Linked DNA regions of Drosophila melanogaster. The protein of the gene in region 4 interacts with the protein of the main gene of each other region in a pairwise test. Each region holds a gene or a part of one and is shown on either strand. Other genes may lie near its edges.

Region 1 (3,393 bases), 8.7 Mb from region 4:
TCTGACTCGACAGGTTTCTAGCTGCAGCAGCCTCCTCTTCGACTGTAGCAATCGTCTATCCACTGCGCTGCCTTTGCTGGCGTCTTCTGCGCTGCTGTTGGCGGCGGCGCCTTTGGCGCTGTTGGCGCCTTTGGCGCTGTTGGCGCCTGCGCCGTTGGCGGGCCAAGCGACGACGACGGGCGGCGGCCCTGCGACGACGGGCGGCCGCGCTGGAGGACGACGACGAGGACGAGGACGAAGAAGTGGTGGTAGTCGTGGCAGACGAGGCCACTGTGGTGGTGTCGGAAGACGTTGAGGCTTCAGTTGTGTCGGAGGAAGAGGACGCGGTAGTGGAGGTGTCCGAGGCGCTGGTACTATCCGAGGAGCTTTCAGTGCTCGTTCCCGTAGCTTCGCAGCCCTGCTGGGCAAACAGGAGGCAGCCGAGAAGGGCCAAGAGCAGAACAAATATGAATCGCATTCTAAGCAGTTATATCTTATGATTTGGAGAATAGCCTATTTATATGATGTTGAACCCGGAAACTTGGTTGAGAAACGCGCTCATTACCGTAAATCTATTACATTATTATGTGTGTTAAGACTCAAGAGCAACGTTTAAACTATATGGCGGCACACATAATTTCTCAATCTGAATAAACATTACCAAAATTTACCTTAGTTAAAGCTAACAATCCAGCAGACCTATTAGCTTACACGCTTTTGGTAAACCACCATTATTCAAATTTGCTATAAAAACATGCGTAACGTCTCAAATGCGTCAAAGACATTCAGCATGCGCTTCTCGATCGTAATTGTTCTTTCCGTCCTAGGATGCCTCCTGCTTAGCCAGGAGGGCAGTAGCAGCACATCTACATCCTCGACGACGACCACAACCACCGACTCCTCTGCCACCACTACCACGGCTTCGTCCGCCACCACTACCACCACTGCCTCTTCCGCATCCACCACGACCACTGCCTCCTCCTCATCCTCTTCCTCTGCGGAGGCCAGGAGGCGCAGGCGCGCCCGTCGCCGTCGTCTGGCGCGTGAGAGGCAACGAAGGGAGCGCAGAAGGCAGCGCAGGACTCAGAGGCTGCGCCAGCAACTGGAGAATCAACGTCGACAGATCAACCAGCTGAGCGGATGAAGGTCTTCGGAAAGACTCGGCTTATGACAATTTAGGAAAAGCTGTTGTAAATATGTGAAAGCTAAATTCTTTCATTGTTCAAGTTCGCCAAGATAATAAAACATTTGATTGTACATTCTGATAATTCTACTTTATTGGAGCACAAAAACGTGTGGGAGTGGCATATTTAAGCGGCTTGAGGGAGTTCAACGTTCTCAACTCTCTAGCTTTTAGAGTTGCTGAGGTCGAGACATTCGTTCGGACAGACGGAGTAATAGTGATCAAGCATATACATATGTATAATTAATAGGGTCGGAAACGCCTGTTACATACTTTTCAACAAATCTAGTTTAGTCTCATTCCAGGAGTAGCCTGTTTCAAATCGAGACGAATTTTGAAATCGGTAACTGGTATAAAATTAATATAATTATACACATCTTTGTTGTGTTTGGTTTAAAAATAATGTAAACCACGTATTTGTTTTTTTGGAAAATAAATCTCTAATTTCGGAGAACTTAAATGGATATAAGCCAAAATGCAACAGCACAAAACTGTTAATTGGGTACGCAAAGCTCAAATGAAGAACAAATAAAACACCTTTAACTCGTCAAGTGCTGCGATTTTTACTCAGATAAGATGTGAATGTACATAAATAGGTTATACCAAATATTTCCTTCAGACGTGACGTGGTCGCCATACATAATTAGGCGTAAGAAGCGTTATAATATTACCTTTTTATCTCGTTTTCAACGAGTTAAACCCGGCTCACTATCAATAATATATCGATCGACTCTTTTACTCTGTTGACCTTACAAGCCCAAGACATTGACGAGCTGGATAGGCTGTGCACACATTTCCGATTTCCGATACATGATATTTGTTTAATTGTTACCCCGTATTGAGTATAAAAGGCCGTCTGATTAGATTAGATTAGACACAACAAAATGCGCTTCCTATTCGCTCTACTTCTCAGCGTGCTCCTGTGTCTGCTCCTGGCTCAGGAGGGCAGTAGCAGCACATCTACATCCTCGACGGCGACCACATCCACCGACTCCTCTGCCACCACTACCACGGCTTCATCCGCCACCACCACTACCACCACTGCCTCCTCCGCATCCACCACGACCACTGCCTCCTCTTCCTCCTCCTCGGCGGAGGCCAGGAGGCGCAGACGTGCTCGCCGTCGTCGCCTGGCTCGTGAGCGCCGTCGTCGCCAGGAGCGGAGACAGCGCCAGGAAAAGAGGAGGCGCAGGATGGAGCAGCTGCTGGTGAGGCAGCGTCGCCTGATCAATCAGCTTCAGGGATAAGTGGGGGCTTGGTCCCTTAAGATAGAATCTTCGGCCGTTCAATAGAAATATAAGCGCTGCACCAACTAATCAGATTATTAGATTGATCTCTTTCTTTGGAGGTATTTTTGAGAAGGCATGCCTGCAGCGTTGAGCAAGGTTTCGTTGTGGGCATTAGAGCATTTAAGACGTTTCCACAGGCATTCCCACGCACATCTACATATTCTATCCGACAAGCGGCGAATCCGCGCAATTCCAAGGCGGCAGACAATTGGCCCTATCCCTGGAGTTTATTATACCAGAGCTTGAGCGCTCGAAAATGCTTTTCTTGCAGCCAAGCTCAGCAGTCAGCCCGCCTGGAATCAAATCAAATAAAATATTCATTTTGGTCTTTGAACTGTGCATAAATGTGCTGCTGTTCACGAAGTGATGGAGCCACCCAAGCCCTGGATACTTAAATCTATTGGATGTGAATAAAAATTACGCTGAATGTGTGCATATATAAAGAGTGCGGTTTGGTGACGGCACGTCATCATATTCTTAGACGTTTCAAAAAGCCAAGGATAACATAGAGACTGACAGGGGGAATCGATGTTTTTTGGTCTTTTTTTTTTTTGCATAACTGCTTGAAAGCAGTTCAAGATTGGGGTTATATTCTGTTAACAATATTCGAATCCACATTTGCTTCTTTGTGCCCATTAATTGCTCAGATCAGACGCATAGAGAATGCCGCCATCTCTGAAGGCTGAAGAAATTTTTTATCGGATTTTCTCGCTACAAAATTGCATTTCAGGGAACTTCGTCCGCAGACTGGGCAGCAATTGAGGGAAACGAAAATAAGCAAAATGCCGCCAGCCAAAAGGTAAAGTACGTTAGGCTGGGCCAACCCTTATTGTTGTCATTTTCCAGATTGCCATTCTGCCATCAATGCCGATTCTAAGCACAAAACGGAGAAAAATGTGTTCTTTCCATCAGATTATTTCCTTCAGATCCGAACCCCTTTTT
Region 2 (7,798 bases), on a different chromosome or scaffold from region 4:
TCCGATTCCTCAGCGGCGGCATCCTCCACCGCCTCCACGGGCGTCGCCTTGGCGGGCTTCGACAGCTTGCGACGGCTCACTGGGGATAGTTAAAGCGTTAGTTAGTAATGGATTTAATAACTTGATATAGAGAGATGATTTTAAAGATTTCTATTCTAGTTTAATGTCAATTATTTCAAAATTAGTAAATTCAGAAGGCACTGCTAGTCCATTTAGAGCAAAATCCTGGCCTAATCCCTGACTAACTTACATGCTGAGTTGCCCTTGTAGCCCTTGGCGGGACTGGATGCTGGGGCGGGTGCTGGCGCGGATGCCTGCTCCTCCTGCTCGCCGGAGTTGGACTCGTCGCTCTTCTTGGCCGGCTTGCTGGGACTGGGCGGCTTCTCGGCACGGTGCTTCTTCGCGTTCGCCTGACGGCGCTTCAGCGAGTTGAGGAAGTCATCGTTGGAGCGGAACGGCCGGATAACCGGGCCGACCTTTTTGGGCGCCTCCGTGGTGGTGGTGGTGGTAGAGCTGGCAAAGGACGCCTCGTCGCCCTCCTCGCCATGATCGCCGTGCTCGCCGGTTTCCTCGTCATACTCCTCGCCCTCGCCGCCGGCATCCGCTTGTGCTGGCGCCGCTGTCGTCGTGGTTGTCACCTTGGCCGCCTTCCCGACCGGACGGCGCAGGGCGGCGATTCTCTTCGCCGGCGAAACGGCGGGACCACCCTCCTCCTGAGCGGAGACCACTCCGTAGCACAGGACGCAGACGATGAAGAGCAGGCAGCTAAGTGGATTAAAAAAAATATAATAAATTATTAATAATTATATAATTATACTGCAATGAAACAAAATTATTTAATAATTCATGCCAATCGTATATAGCTCCTATTTTAAATACTTATGCTTTTACTCATTTAAATACTTTGAAAACTGCCAAAAATAGCTCATTAAAAACCATTGCCAAAAGTGGAACACCATTTAATTACTGAAATAATTTTCAAATGGTTAAAAAGACAAAAAACACACTTCCTTATACTTAAATTAAATTATACTTTAAATAAGTATTCTGAAGGTTTCTTGAAAAATTCGATCTTGCTATCATTAGTCAGTAACATTAGAATTTAAATGCAAGTGCCTATTTGTTGCCATGATTAGATGCTTAAATATTCAAATTTTACATAAATCAATACTGAATTGTTGCCATTAAAATCCCATTGGTTGTTTATACGAACAATGTTTCGTTAATTACGAGTATTATTTACTGGAATAACTTGAATTTCGAAGTCGCTGGTGCAATGTACCGCTCGACTTTCGAATCGATACGAAACGGATCTATTCGAATCGATTCAGTGATGGAATGGCATCTGGTGAATCCCCCGGGCAAGGTTGGCCAACATCTACACGCATCTAATCCTCGTGACTTCCAGCTCGAACCCAACTCTTGGGCGATCGGACGGACGGGACAGGTCTGGTTGGACGGGTTATTCAATACAGAACCTGAAGTCGTAAATATTGTGTACATAAAATACATATGTGCCCGCCCCTACATATACAGTGGAAACTCTTTGAATGATACGACAAGAAATATGGTAATTAACTGAATAAGAAGCATGAAATTATAATAAATTTAGCAAAGTGAAGATCTAAAACAGCGATATTCAATCAACAATAGGCTTATATGCTTGCAAAATCAGCAGAATTTGTTCTCACTTTTAACTCTATTTAGATTTATCACCTGTAAAGGTCGTAAAGAGCTGGATTTGTTTAGGCTAATAATTAATATTTATTAGTAGTTGCCATTCGGGTTTCCTGTAAGATTTGCTATTTTATTTTTGTTTTTTTTTGTTTTTTTTTTGTATACTTTATGTCGCATGCTGACGGAGGACAGAGATGTGCTAACAAATATTAATGTGTAAAGGTCAGACAAACGGGTTTGTTCACTTTCGATTTCGATTTGGATATGGATTTCGCTTTAATGCCGAATTCGAATGCGAATGAATGTTGCTCCGTATCTGTTGTTGTTGTTGTTTCTACTGTATATATATATTTTTTTTTCCTTATTTCTTGCTTTAGTTAACCACTTTTTATTTCTCTTTGCCGCTGGCGACGATGGCGGCGGCTTCAGTGAGTCAAGTCAATTGCTCATATTTTATGCAAAACAAAAGACTTAGGCAGCGAACTCGTTTTGAAATTCTTTCCTATGGCAACGCTTAAGTCGAGTGCTTTGTTGTTATTGCCGCGATGAGGGGGTGGCCAGAGGAGTGGAAGGTTGGGGGAATGGGGTTGGTACGGCTGTGCAGGGCGTTGCGGTGGGTGAGTGGCCAAAGGAAACAGGTGCTTATGCAAAAGGCAGTCAACAGCGCCACGAGTGGGGCGGGGGAAACCAGTTGGTGGCAGCCAGCACCACGCCAGAATATATTTAAGTGCGCGCTCACAGTTGCAGTTGGCTAATAACGGTAAAATGTGCAAGCCAAGTTTTATTTTTAGCCAACACACATAGCACCGTTGTTCATTTTAATTATTTCTACTCGATTATCGTATCGCTCGTTTCATTTGCATTCGAGCATGCTGCATTTCCCCCATTGGGATTTATTTGCTTATGGGGTCAACTGGATTGGCTTTACATGTGGGAATACATGTGGCTGTGGATATCGATATGAACGTGGATGTAGCTATGGAGATGGCCCAGTTAAGCGACAATTATGCAACTGGCAAAAGGTGAAAGGCGTGGGCCCAAGTTGTGGGTGCGTGCCCGGCATCTTCAACATCCCAGCGACTCCAGCGACTTCAGTTCAGTGCCCAGAGGCGTGCCCAGAAATATTTCTCAAGGGGGCTTGGGCCAACGATTTTCTCTTCGGGTCGTTTAGATCTTTCATTTTGAATGGATCGATCACGTTTTGAATAAAGCTTTTCTTCACTGGTTTAGTTTAGTTCGGTTTAGTTTGTTGCTTATAAACTCACTCATTGTTATTAGTTAATTTCCAATATTTATTATACCATTGTTTTATACGCAAGGCAATATTTGGTATTTATGTATCTGTGGTGTGGGGGATCATATGTCAGTTCTGCAAGTGCTGGGTTTTCCATGACATTTGGCTAGGCACTGGGCATAGAGCATCTCGCAACCGGTTCTCCAGCGGATTGGCCAACGGGAACAATGGCAGGGCGCAGACGACGCCAGTGCGCAGTCCACACCCACAAACAATCCGTTGGGTGGACAGGTAGATAGATGGGTAGGCAAATGGATGCGGCTGGTACGGCGGTACACCGGCAGACGGGCACATTTCTGGTCGCCGTGGGCTGTTTTTAGTGCCAGCCGGTGGTTATATAAGCCGACATTAGTTGCGAATTTATGATAAGCAACTCGCGTTGGCGAGAATTTCGTGGATCAGGCGGAACCACTTATTTAATGCAGCCTCATCGTTCGGCCTCATTATCATCCTCATTTAAAGAGCTTGGTCAACAAATTGGTTTGGCTCTTAATTTATTTCATTTCATTTCGCTTTTGTTTGGTCTCCTTTTGTTTTCCTTTCGTTTCGCACTCTGTTTTGTTGGCTTATGCTGCTTATTTTATTTATTTTTTGTTTTTTTGCCTTTTTATTTCGACTTAATGGGCTGACGTCATTGGGCCTACTGCGGATATGAAAGAACTTCCACACTCAAAAGCAATTTATGCAGCATTAAAACGATTGGTTGTCTTCAAGTTTTAAGAAGCGGAAGTTGCTTTGCTTGAATTATGTATGCATTTCGAGTTTTTGTCAAATAAAAGCTGAAGAAAAACTATAAACTGAAGTCTAGAGGAAACCCATTTAAATAATGTCTTAAAATCTGAAACTATTCGGCCAATATTTCTAAATGTAGAGAAACCTTTTCAAAAAGAAAAAATGCCTCTTGAAAGTGTTGATCTTGAGCTGGGCTCAAAGTTTCCGTAACGAAATGCGACACCTGCCCCAGTTAAGCCATGCACGTTTTCTAATTGCCCTGGAGACCTCATTACGCGTCCACTACCAGCATGCACCTTTGCCCCCCCCTACGGGCCACACCCCCCAAGCCCCCGATCAGATAGTCCCCCCCCCCATTTGGACCATATGTATGTGTAGCCACTTATTACGGGCCAAACGTGCACATTCGACACCGAATCGGATTCAAATTCGAATTCAATTTGATTGTAACTGCTTTTATTGCTGCCGCGTTGGATCAAGTTGAAGTCAGCAAGCCAGTTAAATTGGATGGAGGTTGGATGGGGGTTTGGCCTGGTGAGTTGTTCCAAAATTAAGGCGAAAAGAGCCGATTGGCCGCTTGAGGCAAGTGGGTTCAATAACGGTGCATTGTGTCGTTGTTAGTTGGCCAAGTACGTGTTTTGGTTGCTTTGGTACGTGTTTTTACACTACTACTACTACTTCTGGCTGGCTGGCTGGCTGGCTGCATGCCAAATCGATCGAGTTCGCTGCCTAAGTCTTTTGATTTGGCCCAGAGTGGTATTTTGGTGTTTACGTTTTCGGTATCGCATTGAATTCGCTTTGGCCCATGAAGTGCAGCACATATGTATATTACTCATACACACACACACACACACACACACTGCCAATTTTGCGACTCGAAAGTCCTTGAATCTTGAATGTTGAATCTTGAAGGCATCGCCGTGTATTTTCATTTCTTTTATTTATTTAAAATAAATTGCATAATACACCATGCCGGGGAAATGGAACGGAAAATCCTGATTTAGCCGTCTGCCTGCCGACTCACCTACCAACTCCAACTCCACCTCTCTCCTCGCCATTTCCATGTGATTAATTCCATGCATACAACGCTGCGATTAACACATATAATACATACATATATATATGTATATATATATACACACCCCATTCGAGTGGTATTGCATTTATGCAGATATGCGGTCTGTCTGTCAGCTCGCATTAAAAGTGCAACCGTTAATTTATAAAAGACAACCGCGGTAATTAATCCAATATACTTAATTTGCTGCAGCTGCGAAAAGTCGAGGAAAGCGGTGATCTGGTGATCGGGTGATCTGACGATCTGAGGCGTTGAGCGCATCCACTTCGAAAGGAGGAGCCACTTTAGCTGGCGACCTTGAAACATGGAGCAGACCCCATACCATCACCCCCTCTGCTGTCGCCACTGTGATCGCCTTTTACGATCTGAAGCTTTAACTTTTGCCATTTCTTTGCCGGCAAAATGCCAGCCTCACATCCCGTGACAACTTCATCACATCATCATCATCATCATCGTCGTCGTTGCAATGCTGATCATGGTGATCATCGTTATGACCAAACTTTGGCATTTTAGCCACAGCCACGGAGCTCGGTTCAGTTCCAGTTTGAAGCCACGGCATGTTAAAGTTCAAATTGGCATTAAGACGAGCTTACCTACACCTGCATGTGGTTGTGCCCCATAAAGGTTGCAAGTCAACGTGCTACATGCAACGGAGTCGATTGCCAATGCATTTCGACGGTTGGCAACTAAGTTGGGATTTCGAAAATTAAATATATGTACCAAAGAAATTCGAGAAGTTTAGCGTGCGTGGTGGGCTATGCAAATCAAGCTCAAAGTGGTTCGATTAAAATATTCTTTAAATATTTTTAATTATAAAATGTGTCTATTAATAAGTTACTATTTCTGTTCCAATGTCCTGTTCAGTTTTATAACAATCACTTGAAAAAAAAAATACGATCTCTCCTCATCGGTCACGAAACAATATTTAATATTTTGAAATAAATATATACTATATATTTTTGGATCACTCACATGTTGAAGTACTTCATTTTGTCTTGATGTGTGTGCTCGTGCGTGTTTTTCGATGCGTGGGGAGCGGCTTTGGACCAACAACAAAATGAACTCGAAACGCGCGCGTCTTAAACTTAAACTAGAAAAAAAACACTTGTGTATTTATAATTGATTTTATATATTTTTTTTTGAGGGAGGGGGGCGAGGTTATCGGCTTCTCTGCTAGCGAGCGGTACTGACGACTGGCCACGATCACGATCGACTTCTAGAGGCAGACTGAACGTTACTTATGCCGTGTGCACACAGTTAACCTACGGCCATCCAATATTTTGTGGCAGCGACGGTGACTTCGACGGCGGCAGCGGCTGCGCAACAGGTTCAGACCGCCCTAGCCAAACCGCCTGCCTGCACCTCCAACCCGTGGCCACCGCCTCCTCCTCCTCCTCCGCCAGCGACTCCCAGCCCCTCCACTTCCATCGCCGCCTGCGCTCAAAAGCTCTTTTTGCTTTTGCACGGCGCGAAAAATGTGGTAAGAAACGTCGAATTCTAGCCATACTTTCATCTATAGTCATCAATCAAGCAAGGCATGCGAATTCTTCAGAACTTTTCCTTTTTGCCATATAACATATATGCTTAACTTAACTTTGGTCTGTATTTGTATCAAATTACAAATGCAAATTCATCAGGACTTATTTAGTCAACTGTATAAACTATATTTATACATTCAATTGAATGTGTTTAATATATGTATGTATCCATGCTATATATTTTTAGGAATATATAGAAGTTTATAATACCGCAAATTACTTAGTTATGTGATTACAGATTACTGAAGTTTCCTTGCCATCCTTTCCTTTTTTGTGGATGTGAGCAAAAGAATAATTTTTAATTAATTAAAATTAATTTTAAATTAATTTATGCCGACGTACTTCACATATTCCCTGAATTTTTCCACTAACAAAGAAAATTCCTATGCCCCTTCAATGACATCATTGATTAAATTAGTTTGTATAATTTAACATTATCTACCACCCGCCAAGCTGATATTAAAAATGTAATTCCTGATTTTTTCGCCTTGTGTGCCCAAGCGCCTCGATGGTCGATCTGTGCTGGCAGGAGTACTTCTGGTTTTTCGGAGCCAATTTGTCACGGGCCTGGGCTCTGGTTATGACAGGTTTTTCGTATCCAATCCACTCCAATCCCAGCCAAGTCAAGCCAATCCAATCTGAGTCGAGCTGAGTTGAGTTGAATTGCGTTGAGTTGAGCTGAGCGGAGTGGAGCCGACTCAACATTCGCAATTTGTATATTTTATTAATTAATTTATTGATTTTAGGCCAATTGTTGTTTTGCCTCTTTGCCGATCTGGTAAATCCCGATCGAGCTGACCAACCAATCCCCGAAAGCAGCCGTCCCGCCCGTTGGCCAAAAACACACATCTGTGCCGCATGTAAATCGCTAAGTTCGCGTTTAAAAATTAACCAAATCAAGTCAGTTAATTATCAACGATATGCAAATACCCTAGAAAGTGTAATGAAACAAATTTCAATTGACTTTTGGTCACATGTCAAATGAATTTTTCCACATTAAAAGTTTTCCTTAATAAGAAAGTGAAATAAATACAAATATTAATTTACATTAAATATTTTTACAAGCATTAAACTCTTTGAAGACTAAAATCACTGGACCTCAAATGCAAGTTAACAACTGATCTTTGAAAACTTCAATGAATCTCAATTCTATGGCCACCAAATCCAACCGAAATCCATCTGCAAGTCTGCGGGCCCTGAGTCAATTTAAGGTATGGAATGGCACCAAATTAAAAATCCGTAAAAGCTGATAAAGCCAGAAATATTTATGCATATTTTGTGGGTTCGTCGCGGCCTTGAACTGATTGATCAGGAGTGCTGCAGGGGGGGGGGGGGGGTCAGGGGCGGGGTCTGTAGGGTGATGGCTGCATATGTTTAATGGGTGACAAAGCTGATGGGCGCTAATTAATCTTCCACACCCATCAGCTAACGATCGCTTTGAACTCTTGCAGATGTTCTGCGGCCAGGTGTTGATTTTTTGGC
Region 3 (6,491 bases), 8.2 Mb from region 4:
CTGCGCCGTGAGCTCAAGGTGATCAAGGGCTGTCAGGGATTGGCCGATGCCGCCCTCAAGGAAGCCGAGGAGCAGATCCGCAAGCTGCGCGCCGCCATCTATTTGCTCGATCAGGATCTGGCCGCCAAGGATAAGTCACTGGCCATCGACGAGAAGAACCTGAAGCTCAAGGAGTTCCAGCACGACCTGGCTAAGGGACAGGATTTGTCCAAACAGCATTGGTAGGTTTTTGAAAACTAGGTTGCATGTCAATCACACATGTTGGGGTTTCCTTTTTAAGGAATGATGAAGTGGATTGATTATTAATCTTTTTTCTTTCACTTTTATGCGTAAGTCATTTCGGTGTTCATCAGTACAAGGAGTTTAAAAGGATAAACATTTTACTAGAGTCTTATCCACAAATTCCATTACAAAGTCAAGTAGTTGTTCCCCTTTTCAGTTAGGAATGGAATTGAGGAAGGTCAAACCTAACAATGAAACCGCAGTTTCCTTGGTGATATGGGATAGAGTTGTCCTGAGTCTATTTTAGTGCATTGGAATTAAGTGATTTATTTACAACCACTCAAATCGACCTGATAGTTGCCATGACTCCACCATGCCTTTACCCCCTTCTCTTCCTTACCCAGCCAATTTTCGCTGACCGAGTGGCAGGCGCAGACGTACGAGAATCTGGAGGCCAACGCCAAGGCGCTGGTGTCCGCCGGGCAGCTGCGGGCCTACATCGATTTGCTGCTGAAGCAGGTGTGCGAGGATATGCAGAACCAGACGGACAGGACCAACGAGGCCTTTGAGCGAAGGATCTCGGAGACGAAGCACGTGAAACAGTGTTTGGAGAACAAGCACAAGGACACCATGGATCACATCCATCAGGTGCAGCGCAACATGACCGAGCTGGAGAAGGAGATGATGGACAAGCAGCGGGCCATTACACTGTGCCAGACGCGGCTCAGCAATCGCGCCCATCGTCCTGGCCTGGAGCTGACCTGCGACATGGTCCAGGATGCGCTTTACAACGAACTGCAGGCGCTGAAGGCATCCGTATGCAAGCTCAATCAGAAGCTGAACGAGAACAAGGCATCCATGCGCTACCTGATGCACGTCCAGGTGATGCAGGAGGAGGAGATCAACATCAAGGCGAACACCTGCAAGATCGACGAGGTCGACTGCATGACCCTGCGACAGGCCCTGAAGTACCAAACATTTTAGTCGGGCAGCACTACATCCAGTACAGCACCAGTCCAGTAGTCGCCACACAGCCCAGCCACCAATAATCAAATTAAAATCTAATTATTAGATGCATGTGCATTTCGTGTTCGATCCCAAATTACTTAATAAATTGAAATTCACTTTCGATTTCCAGTTACCAAAACTATGGCTTTTTAATGCATTTTTAAATTGTTCATTTTATTCGAAATAGTTAATCATATATTTCTTTTGCTTAATTTTCGTGAATTTAAATTTCCCGCTTTGAATCTAGTATTTTTAGTTTTACCTGCCTCTATTCGATATTTACCGCTAAGCACAGACATATAGTTATCGATAACGTGAACGCAAATGCGAGGGAGTATTGCAAATAGTGTTACCGTGCTGCTGTGAAAATTCCCAGGTGTGACCGCAGCCCGCATTCGATATTGATGAAGCCAGGCAAAACGTAGAAAAGCAAAAGAAAACCTTAATTAATGTTAAGTTAAAAGTGTATAAACCCGAGATTAAGGTAAGTGGCCCACCACCATCTAGATTTTGAGTACACCGAAGGCATGGCGATGTTGGCAGTGGCGGGAGCGTTACGCCTCTACCGCCACCGCCTCCGCCGCACACGATAAAAAATGGAGTACAGCCACGAATGGGCAAATCAATAATTTTCAACACTCCAATTGTTTTTACAACTGAAATCAGTCCTAATCTTGTTTTCCGCAGTGCAAGGATGTCGAAACGGAGCGCCGACGACGCCACCGGCAGCAGCTGCTTGGTGGCCGCCGCAGCCGCCGGCCAGCCGCCCATCAAGAAGGTGCACTTCGAGCCCCATCTGATTGGGCCGGTGTCCACGCTGGAGGAGATGGACATCAAGGTGCTGGAATTCCAGAACAAGAAGCTAGCACAGCGCATCGAACAGCGGATGCGAACGGAGGCGGAGCTGCGACATCGAATCGAGCAGCTGGAAAAGCGGCAAACGCAGGACGACGCCGTTCTAAACGTGGTCAATCGGTATTGGAATCAGCTGAACGAGGACATACGAGTCCTGCTGCAGCGCTTCGATGCCGAGACGGCCGACGAACTGGAGAACCGGAATGAGAACGAGGTGACCACCTCGTTTCTCGCCCAACTGTCCACCTGGGACAAGGAGGAGCTGGACGAGAAGCTGGCCAACCGCGTCCAAGTGTCCAAAAGGGCGGTCGCCAAGATCGTACAGGTTATTGATAGGTTAATGCAACGCAATGAAAAGATAACTCATGTCTTGAAAGGTGATAGTCTGGCTTCAGCTGGCTCCGGTTCAGGAGCGGGAGCTGGCGGCGAGGAGGAGCAGCAGCAGGCCAGCGGCGATGCGGAGACCACAACGTCATCGGCCGGTGTCCATGCGCTAGAGGAAACCCTGAAGCAAACGCACATCGAGATCATGAGCGAAAATCACAAGCTGCAGAATCTGAATACCTCGCTGCACGAGAAGTTCCACACCATGTCGCTGAAGATGAAGGAGTACCAGGACGCTCATACCGCCAAGGAGACGGAGAACGCCGAACTGAAGAACCAGATAGACGAACTGCAATATGACCTAGAGAAGATCCATTGCCGGAATGATAAGCTGGAGAACCACTTGGCCGAGGCTATTGAAAAGCTGAAGGCCTACCACCAGATTTACGGTGATCCCAATAAGAGCACTAATAGTGCCAAGACACCAACTACCACAGGCAGCGGCGGCGCCACCACCAGCGTTAATAGCCAGCTATTGGAGGAGCTGCAAAAGGAGCTGGAGGAGTACCGCGAACTGGCCAACAACCGACTGCAGGAGCTGGATAAGCTTCACGCCACGCATCGCGAAACCCTGAAGGAGGTGGAGAAGCTTAAAATGGATGTAAGTTTTGAATGAATAATGTATTAGCTTATCTGGAGCATTGCTAATTATAGTTAGTCATTTCGTTTATATTTTCTTTGTATTATACTGATTCATCCTTAAAATCCATTCCAGATACGACAGTTGCCGGAATCGGTAATTGTGGAAACCACGGAGTACAAGTGCCTGCAGAGCCAGTTTTCCGTGCTCTACAACGAGTCCATGCAGATAAAGACCATGCTGGACGAGACCCGAAACCAGCTTCAAACGAGCAAGAACCAGCATCTGCGACAAATCGAAGTGATGGAGAGCGAGGAACTTATTGCCCAGAAGAAGGTGCGCAGCGAGATGATCCAGATGGAGGACGTTTTAGCCCTCATCCGAAAGGAGTACGAAACGCTACGCATTGAGTTCGAGCAGAACATGGCAGCCAACGAGCAGACGGCACCCATCAATCGCGAGATGCGCCACCTGATCACCTCTCTACAAAACCACAATGGCCAACTGAAGGGTGAGGTGCAGCGCTACAAGCGAAAGTACAAGGACACGTCCACGGACAACTTGAAGCTGCGTCAGGAGCTGGCCGATGCACTAGCTACACTCGAAGGCAACAAGTTGCAGGCGGCGACTGGTGCGGCTGGCGAAGAAATCAAGCAGGAGAACTCAACAGGTGTGAAGGAGGAGAACTCCAACAACGTTTCCGCCAGTGGACAAACAAACCAAACAAATTCCGGCAACGATACCAACGTAGCCATCAAGGAGGAGAACCATATCTCGGCTGAAGATGAAGCTGATGACGAGGCCAGTGGTAAGGACGTAAAAGACGGCATCAAGCAGGAGAAGCTCAGTTCTGGAGACGCGGCGGCAGCTGAGAAGAAGGATTCCCCTGGACCCGGAAACTCAACAAGTTCTGCGACCAATTCTGTTCCCGTCAAAAACGAAAAGGATTCCAAGGATGGTGTCAAGGGCAAGGATGTGAAGGCAGTGGAAAGTGAAACGGTGCGCGATCTGAAGGCGCAACTAAAGTAAGTTTGTTCAGCAATTACGATTATCTATTTAACATTGTTTGATTTACAGAAAAGCACTGAACGACCAGAAAGAAATGAAACTCCTGCTGGATATGTACAAAGGCGTATCGAAGGATCAGCGCGACAAGGTCCAGTTGATGGCCACCGAAAAGAAACTGCGCTCCGAGATCGAGGAGCTCCGCCAGCAGCTGAAGAAGCTGCAGGAAAGCAAGCGCGAGGAACGCAAGAAGCTGGCCGACGAGGAGGCGTTACGTAAGATTAAGCAATTGGAGGAGCAGAAGTACGAGCTGCAAAAACAGATGGCCAACCACAAGCCAACGGATAATTCTTGGGGCAGTGGAGCCCCCGGCACAGCGAACTACACGCGACCGTTTGTTGGTTCCCACGAAGAGGAGGCACTGCTGAACGAGATGGAGGTTACCGGCCAGGCGTTCGAGGACATGCAGGAGCAGAACTCCCGGCTCATACAACAGCTGCGTGAGAAGGACGATGCGAACTTTAAGCTAATGTCGGAGCGCATCAAGGCCAACCAGCTGCACAAACTTCTGAGAGAGGAAAAGACGGTGCTGGAGGATCAGATGGCAACGGCGACCACGCAAATCGAAGCCATGCACATTGTGCTGCGAAAGCTGGAGGAGAAGGAACGCAGCCTGCAGGCCACCGTCGCGTCGATTGAGAAAGAGTTGATGCTGCGGCAGCAAGCAATGGAGATGCACAAACGCAAGGCGATTGAATCGGCGCAATCGGCAGCGGACCTCAAGCTGCATCTGGAAAAGTATCACGCGCAAATGAAGGAGGCGCAGCAAGTGGTGGCGGAGAAGACCAGTTCGCTGGAGGCGGAGGCCTACAAGACCAAGCGGCTGCAGGAGGAGCTGGCGCAGTTTAAACGCAAGGCGGAGCGCATGAAGAAGATGGAAATGTCGGGCACCACCATCGACGAGGTGATGATTGAGGAGATCCGCGAATACAAAGAAACGCTCACGTGTCCCTCGTGCAAGGTGAAGCGGAAGGATGCTGTCCTGTCAAAGTGTTTCCACGTCTTCTGCTACGACTGCCTGCGCACTAGATATGAAACGCGGCAGCGGAAGTGTCCCAAATGCAACTGCGCCTTCGGCGCCAACGATTATCATAGGCTATATCTGCAGTAGATAAGCGATAATTTAGATACGTTCCGGTCATGTCCTATTCATACACAAATCCACCCACGCCACACACCACTACCGCACACCCAGCATTCATGCCGGATTATTATTCATTATGCATATATTACCTACGTACTAATATTTGGTTAAGTAGTCTCCGAATAACTTTCCCCCACCAGATTTCCCATGGCAATTATTTGAATTCGTTCATTCTGGCGCCAAGCAAAAGCATCTCATTATGAGTGCCGCGAGATCGTGACGCGGTTTTTATGTAGCTTCTAGTTTTTGTAAATCAAACTATTTTTAAATGATTTCATTTGAAAACTAAATGTACGAACACTAATAAATGGCTAAAACCTATTGTTTAGCATGCCCCGAGTTATTTAGATACCCCATATATACATAAGTGTAGGTTCTTTGTCTTGCATTCAGTTAGCATTATATTAAGCGTATTCTAATCTTAAGTTAAATACTCCTATTGTAATGATCAAACGTAGCATAGATATCAAATGTATAAACTTGGCGGAGAATCCGTTTAAAAGTCGCGCTTTGCTTTGAAGGGCTGCTAACTTGGTTATAATTGATAAGTAATTGTAATAATGTATGATCGAAAATTGTTGTTCAGCTGAACAAAACGAGTTTTGATTGCTTTTTTGTTTGTGTGTAAATGTGTTCGTTCTTTATGTGTACTGTTTAACGAATAAAGAAACTAATGATCAGAAATCGTGACTTTCAATCAATGTTATCTCTCTACATGAAATCCACCTGTTAGAGCTGTTAGCACCCACGCACTCATGTTAATAACATCGATGCTTATCTGAAACCTGTAACCATTGGCGCGCAACAGGTTATCGGGGTTTAAAACGCTATGCTGGTATTTTGTTCTCTACAGAAAGTAGGAAAGTGGCCATAACTATAATTTTATGTATAAACAGTTTGATCATATTCTAAATTTCTATTTTATGGCACAAGAACATAAAACGAATGGTTAATTTAACTCAACTGGTATAAATTGGTAATTATCATTGCATATTTTCTATTTATAAATATTTAATTGCGTCCAACTGGACCAAAGTCTTTTGAGCAATTGTCTTAATTTTAATTTGCATCACACTTTTGCAGGCAAATCTAGTTTAAGTTAGCCGTGTTAGGTTCCAATTGGCCAGAACAGCCCAGTTGGCCAGGCCATTCCCCAGTAATTATGCTACCTAGTATTTATTACAATGGCTCAAGAGCAACGACATTGTCTTGTGCAATTATAATTAACAGCTG
Region 4 (3,075 bases):
ACACGGGATTTCTGTTGGCAGTGCCACTGCCAGAATGTCGGCATTGAAATCGAAAACAATGGTCCCATTGTGGTGGCCGATGGCGCTACTCAGGCTCCTCCCTTTTCGTTATCCTTTCGCCATTAAACAATTGTCGCCTGTGCGCATCAGTAATTAAGTGTCCCTGTGCATTTATGTCTACTTGTATGAGGGCATAATTACTATTTATAGATGCTATTGGCTTACGTCTAAATAGAAACACAATGCGCCAAAGCGCTGGTAAATGTAAATGTGGGCGCCTAAAAATATGCAGCAAAATGCAGCTGACTTTGGTAATACTACGCCACTAGAACGATTTATACTAATCTGGCTGCAGAGACTTGTATATAAACCACAACAGTTTATTAAATGAATGTTTCGTTCAAAAAATTTTTTTCCTTTTAAGGAATACTTGATTTTTAGTTGGCTTTCGATTTTAAGTATTCAGAAACGATTTGTAATGATTAGTTTCTCTCCGAAGAAAGATCATTTAAGCCCTCAAATACAAAATTGTTGTATATTTTGGATTAATAATGTATATTTTTGGTAAATTACAAAACGTCTCCTTATCTTTGTATTTTTATATGGATTTTTTGTACAGAAAACAACATATGAAATATTCCCAGACTAATGTAGATTCTACAAGATGTCTCTTGGTCCTCTTAAAAGTTTGATGTAAAAACTTTCAGTGACTATGGGGAATTTATCCTTTTTTCGAACTGCTTAGCCTGTGCGTTTGCGTTTGTTGGCGGCAGTATTCGCCTTCTTCTTGGCTGCCACAGGTGTCTTCTTCTTTTGGGCAACAGGTGTTTGCTTCTTGGCAGACGCGGCTGCCGCTACTTTGCGTTTGGGAGCAGCGGTGGTGGTGCGCCTGCGCCGTCTAGCTCTGCGTGCAGCAGTTTTCTTGGCTTTTTCTGCCTTGGTTGGAGTTGAACTGGAGGTCGTTTCGGCGGAGGAACCATCTCCAGAAGTTTCTGAAGAACTACCTGTATCGGAAGCTTCGCCGGAGGAACTGTCCTCGGAGGTACTAGCATCATCTTCTGAGCTACTGGATGCACCAACACCACTTTCCGAACTGGACTCTACATCAGAGTCGTCATAGTAGTCATCACCATAGTCGTAATAATCGTAATAGTCATCGTCAGTGTCATCAGCACCCGTTACGAAGGCAACCAATATGGCCAGGCTTAAAACCAACAGCAGCCTCATCTTTTTTTTTTTGTATCTATAGAGTCAACGAACAGATAGGTAACCTTAGGTATAAACGTCTGAGTTTAAAAGTCTTCAACACTGGGTATTTATAGTTTTTTCTCCTCTGAAGAAATTTATAAATATATAAAGCTTTTTTACATTATTTTTCTATGTACATCTGTAGAATGCAAATATTGGTTTTTTAATTCATCGTCTTAATTTTCGGTGGCTTAGAGCACCTGTGTGTGCTGCTTGTATTTGTTTAACATTTTTCGATTGCTATATGTTGAAATTATGAAATTATATTTTGTGTTAGAGCACGAAAAAGTAATATAAACTCTTTTATATTAAAAGAGCCAAGGTCACAAATGTCTTATCTGGATTTTTGAACAATTTGTCTATGGTTTACGCGTTAGGCGACCTGCTAGTAGTTTTATAGAAAAAATAGATATGACATTAAACGTCTTTAAAATTATATAATTTTTCAAGTATATGCGGTGTATGTTTTTGTTTATCAAAAATATATTTATTTACAAATGAGGGAAAAAACACGTGCCGATAAAAACTTATGTAGAATGTTTTCTTGTCTTTTGAACATTGGGTGAAATAGTTAAATATATTTCAAAATTTCTGTGATATTCAAGTTTTGTACAAAATTCATAATAATAAACACCCATACCCAACAACCACATTCTTGGTAAATATCATTATCATTATTATATATTAATTCAAAACCTAACTTATAAACGTCATAGAAAAAAATCTTGGTAATTTTGGGAACAAATTTTTTTGGTATAATTTTTTATTTTTATAATTTGTAGCTACGAATATAATAAACTGGATTTATCCAGAGCGCCTACGTTTGTTGGGTCCAGCATTTGCCCGCTTCTTGGCGGCAACAGGTGTTCGCTTCTTAGCCGCCTTCTTGTTATTACTTTTCTTGGCAGCGGCGGCATTGCGACGTTTAGCTGCTGCCTTATTCTTGTTGTTCCTGTTGTTTTTCCTGGCACCAGCTCTTTTGTTCTTTTTGACAACTGGAGCAGCAGTTGGTGCTTCCGTAACATCGCTAGAGCCCTCGTAGTCGTCATAGGAATCGACGTCCCCAGAGTCGTTTCCACTGTCGACGTCAGTGGAGCTATCACTAGTGTCTCCAGAATCAGCAGTGTTGTCTTCGGAGCTACCGGCAGTATCGTTGTCATCAGCGTAATCGTAAGAGTAATCTCCATCGTCAGACGAATCAGTTGTCTGGGCCACAGCCACGTGGGCTACGAAGACTGCCAATGCCAGAACCAGAAGAAGTTTCATTTTCGTTTTGGGGAGATTTTGTGATCTAAACGAAGAAAGCTCAATCCTCTGGTTTATATACCAACATATCAGTCGAATCTCGTTTTTCATGAATCAAAAGTAAATATGATTAAACAAACACACATTCGTTTACTTTGGGCCAGCTGTGTAGATGTTTTTTTGATTATCAATTTGTTTTAGAAATTTTAGATAATAATATTAGCCCCTGGTGGTTACCTGTAAATACTTTTATAAATCAAGTAGATATATAACGTTTTATGTTGTGGAATAAAATAATATATTGTTTGTCGTCTACAATATAAAACGAACGTTTATAGATCCACTTTATCTACACGCAGTTAAAATTGCGTTCACTTTCAGAAAACGTTTTCAAACGCGTAATCTACGTGATTATTTAATGTGATGGCACGCACTACTCATATTATTTATGGTTATTTTAGTGAAAGCACAAATTTATATGTTTGACCTTTTTCCGTGCAATTTCAGCTCGGGATAACGAGCCGCGGCAGACCGAAAGAGGACCAACCCAGATTCGCAAAGTTCGTGCCATAAATCTGCAGT

The links.
Region 1: the proteins of CG9040 (region 4) and CG14454 interact in a two-hybrid assay, tested with the Drosophila melanogaster proteins (one large-scale study listed by BioGRID).
Region 2: the proteins of CG9040 (region 4) and CG9782 interact in a two-hybrid assay, tested with the Drosophila melanogaster proteins (one large-scale study listed by BioGRID).
Region 3: the proteins of CG9040 (region 4) and Bre1 interact in a two-hybrid assay, tested with the Drosophila melanogaster proteins (one large-scale study listed by BioGRID).

Annotation. Positions count from the first base shown.
Region 1 is NT_037436.4:22,691,166-22,694,558, reverse strand, and holds CG14454 (uncharacterized protein), read left to right. Parts: upstream 1-2,030; 5' UTR 2,031-2,046; coding exon 2,047-2,409; 3' UTR 2,410-2,885; downstream 2,886-3,393. Other genes in the region: CG14453 (uncharacterized protein), read right to left, coding at 56-457; CG12546 (uncharacterized protein), read left to right, coding at 770-1,123.
Region 2 is NC_004354.4:16,615,580-16,623,377, forward strand, and holds the start of CG9782 (uncharacterized protein), read right to left. Parts: upstream 6,011-7,798; 5' UTR 5,768-6,010; coding exon 5,751-5,767; intron 766-5,750; coding exon 251-765; intron 80-250; coding exon 1-79.
Region 3 is NT_037436.4:5,789,279-5,795,769, reverse strand, and holds Bre1 (Bre1), read left to right. Parts: upstream 1-1,577; 5' UTR 1,578-1,714; intron 1,715-1,917; 5' UTR 1,918-1,924; coding exon 1,925-3,070; intron 3,071-3,184; coding exon 3,185-4,074; intron 4,075-4,126; coding exon 4,127-5,225; 3' UTR 5,226-5,939; downstream 5,940-6,491. Other genes in the region: Tektin-C (tektin C), read left to right, coding at 1-221, 627-1,206. UniProt on the Drosophila melanogaster protein: E3 ubiquitin-protein ligase that mediates monoubiquitination of 'Lys-117' of histone H2B. H2B 'Lys-117' ubiquitination gives a specific tag for epigenetic transcriptional activation and is also prerequisite for histone H3 'Lys-4' and 'Lys-79' methylation.
Region 4 is NT_037436.4:13,986,094-13,989,168, reverse strand, and holds CG9040 (uncharacterized protein), read right to left. Parts: upstream 1,292-3,075; 5' UTR 1,228-1,291; coding exon 742-1,227; 3' UTR 543-741; downstream 1-542. Other genes in the region: CG17362 (uncharacterized protein), read right to left, coding at 2,053-2,514.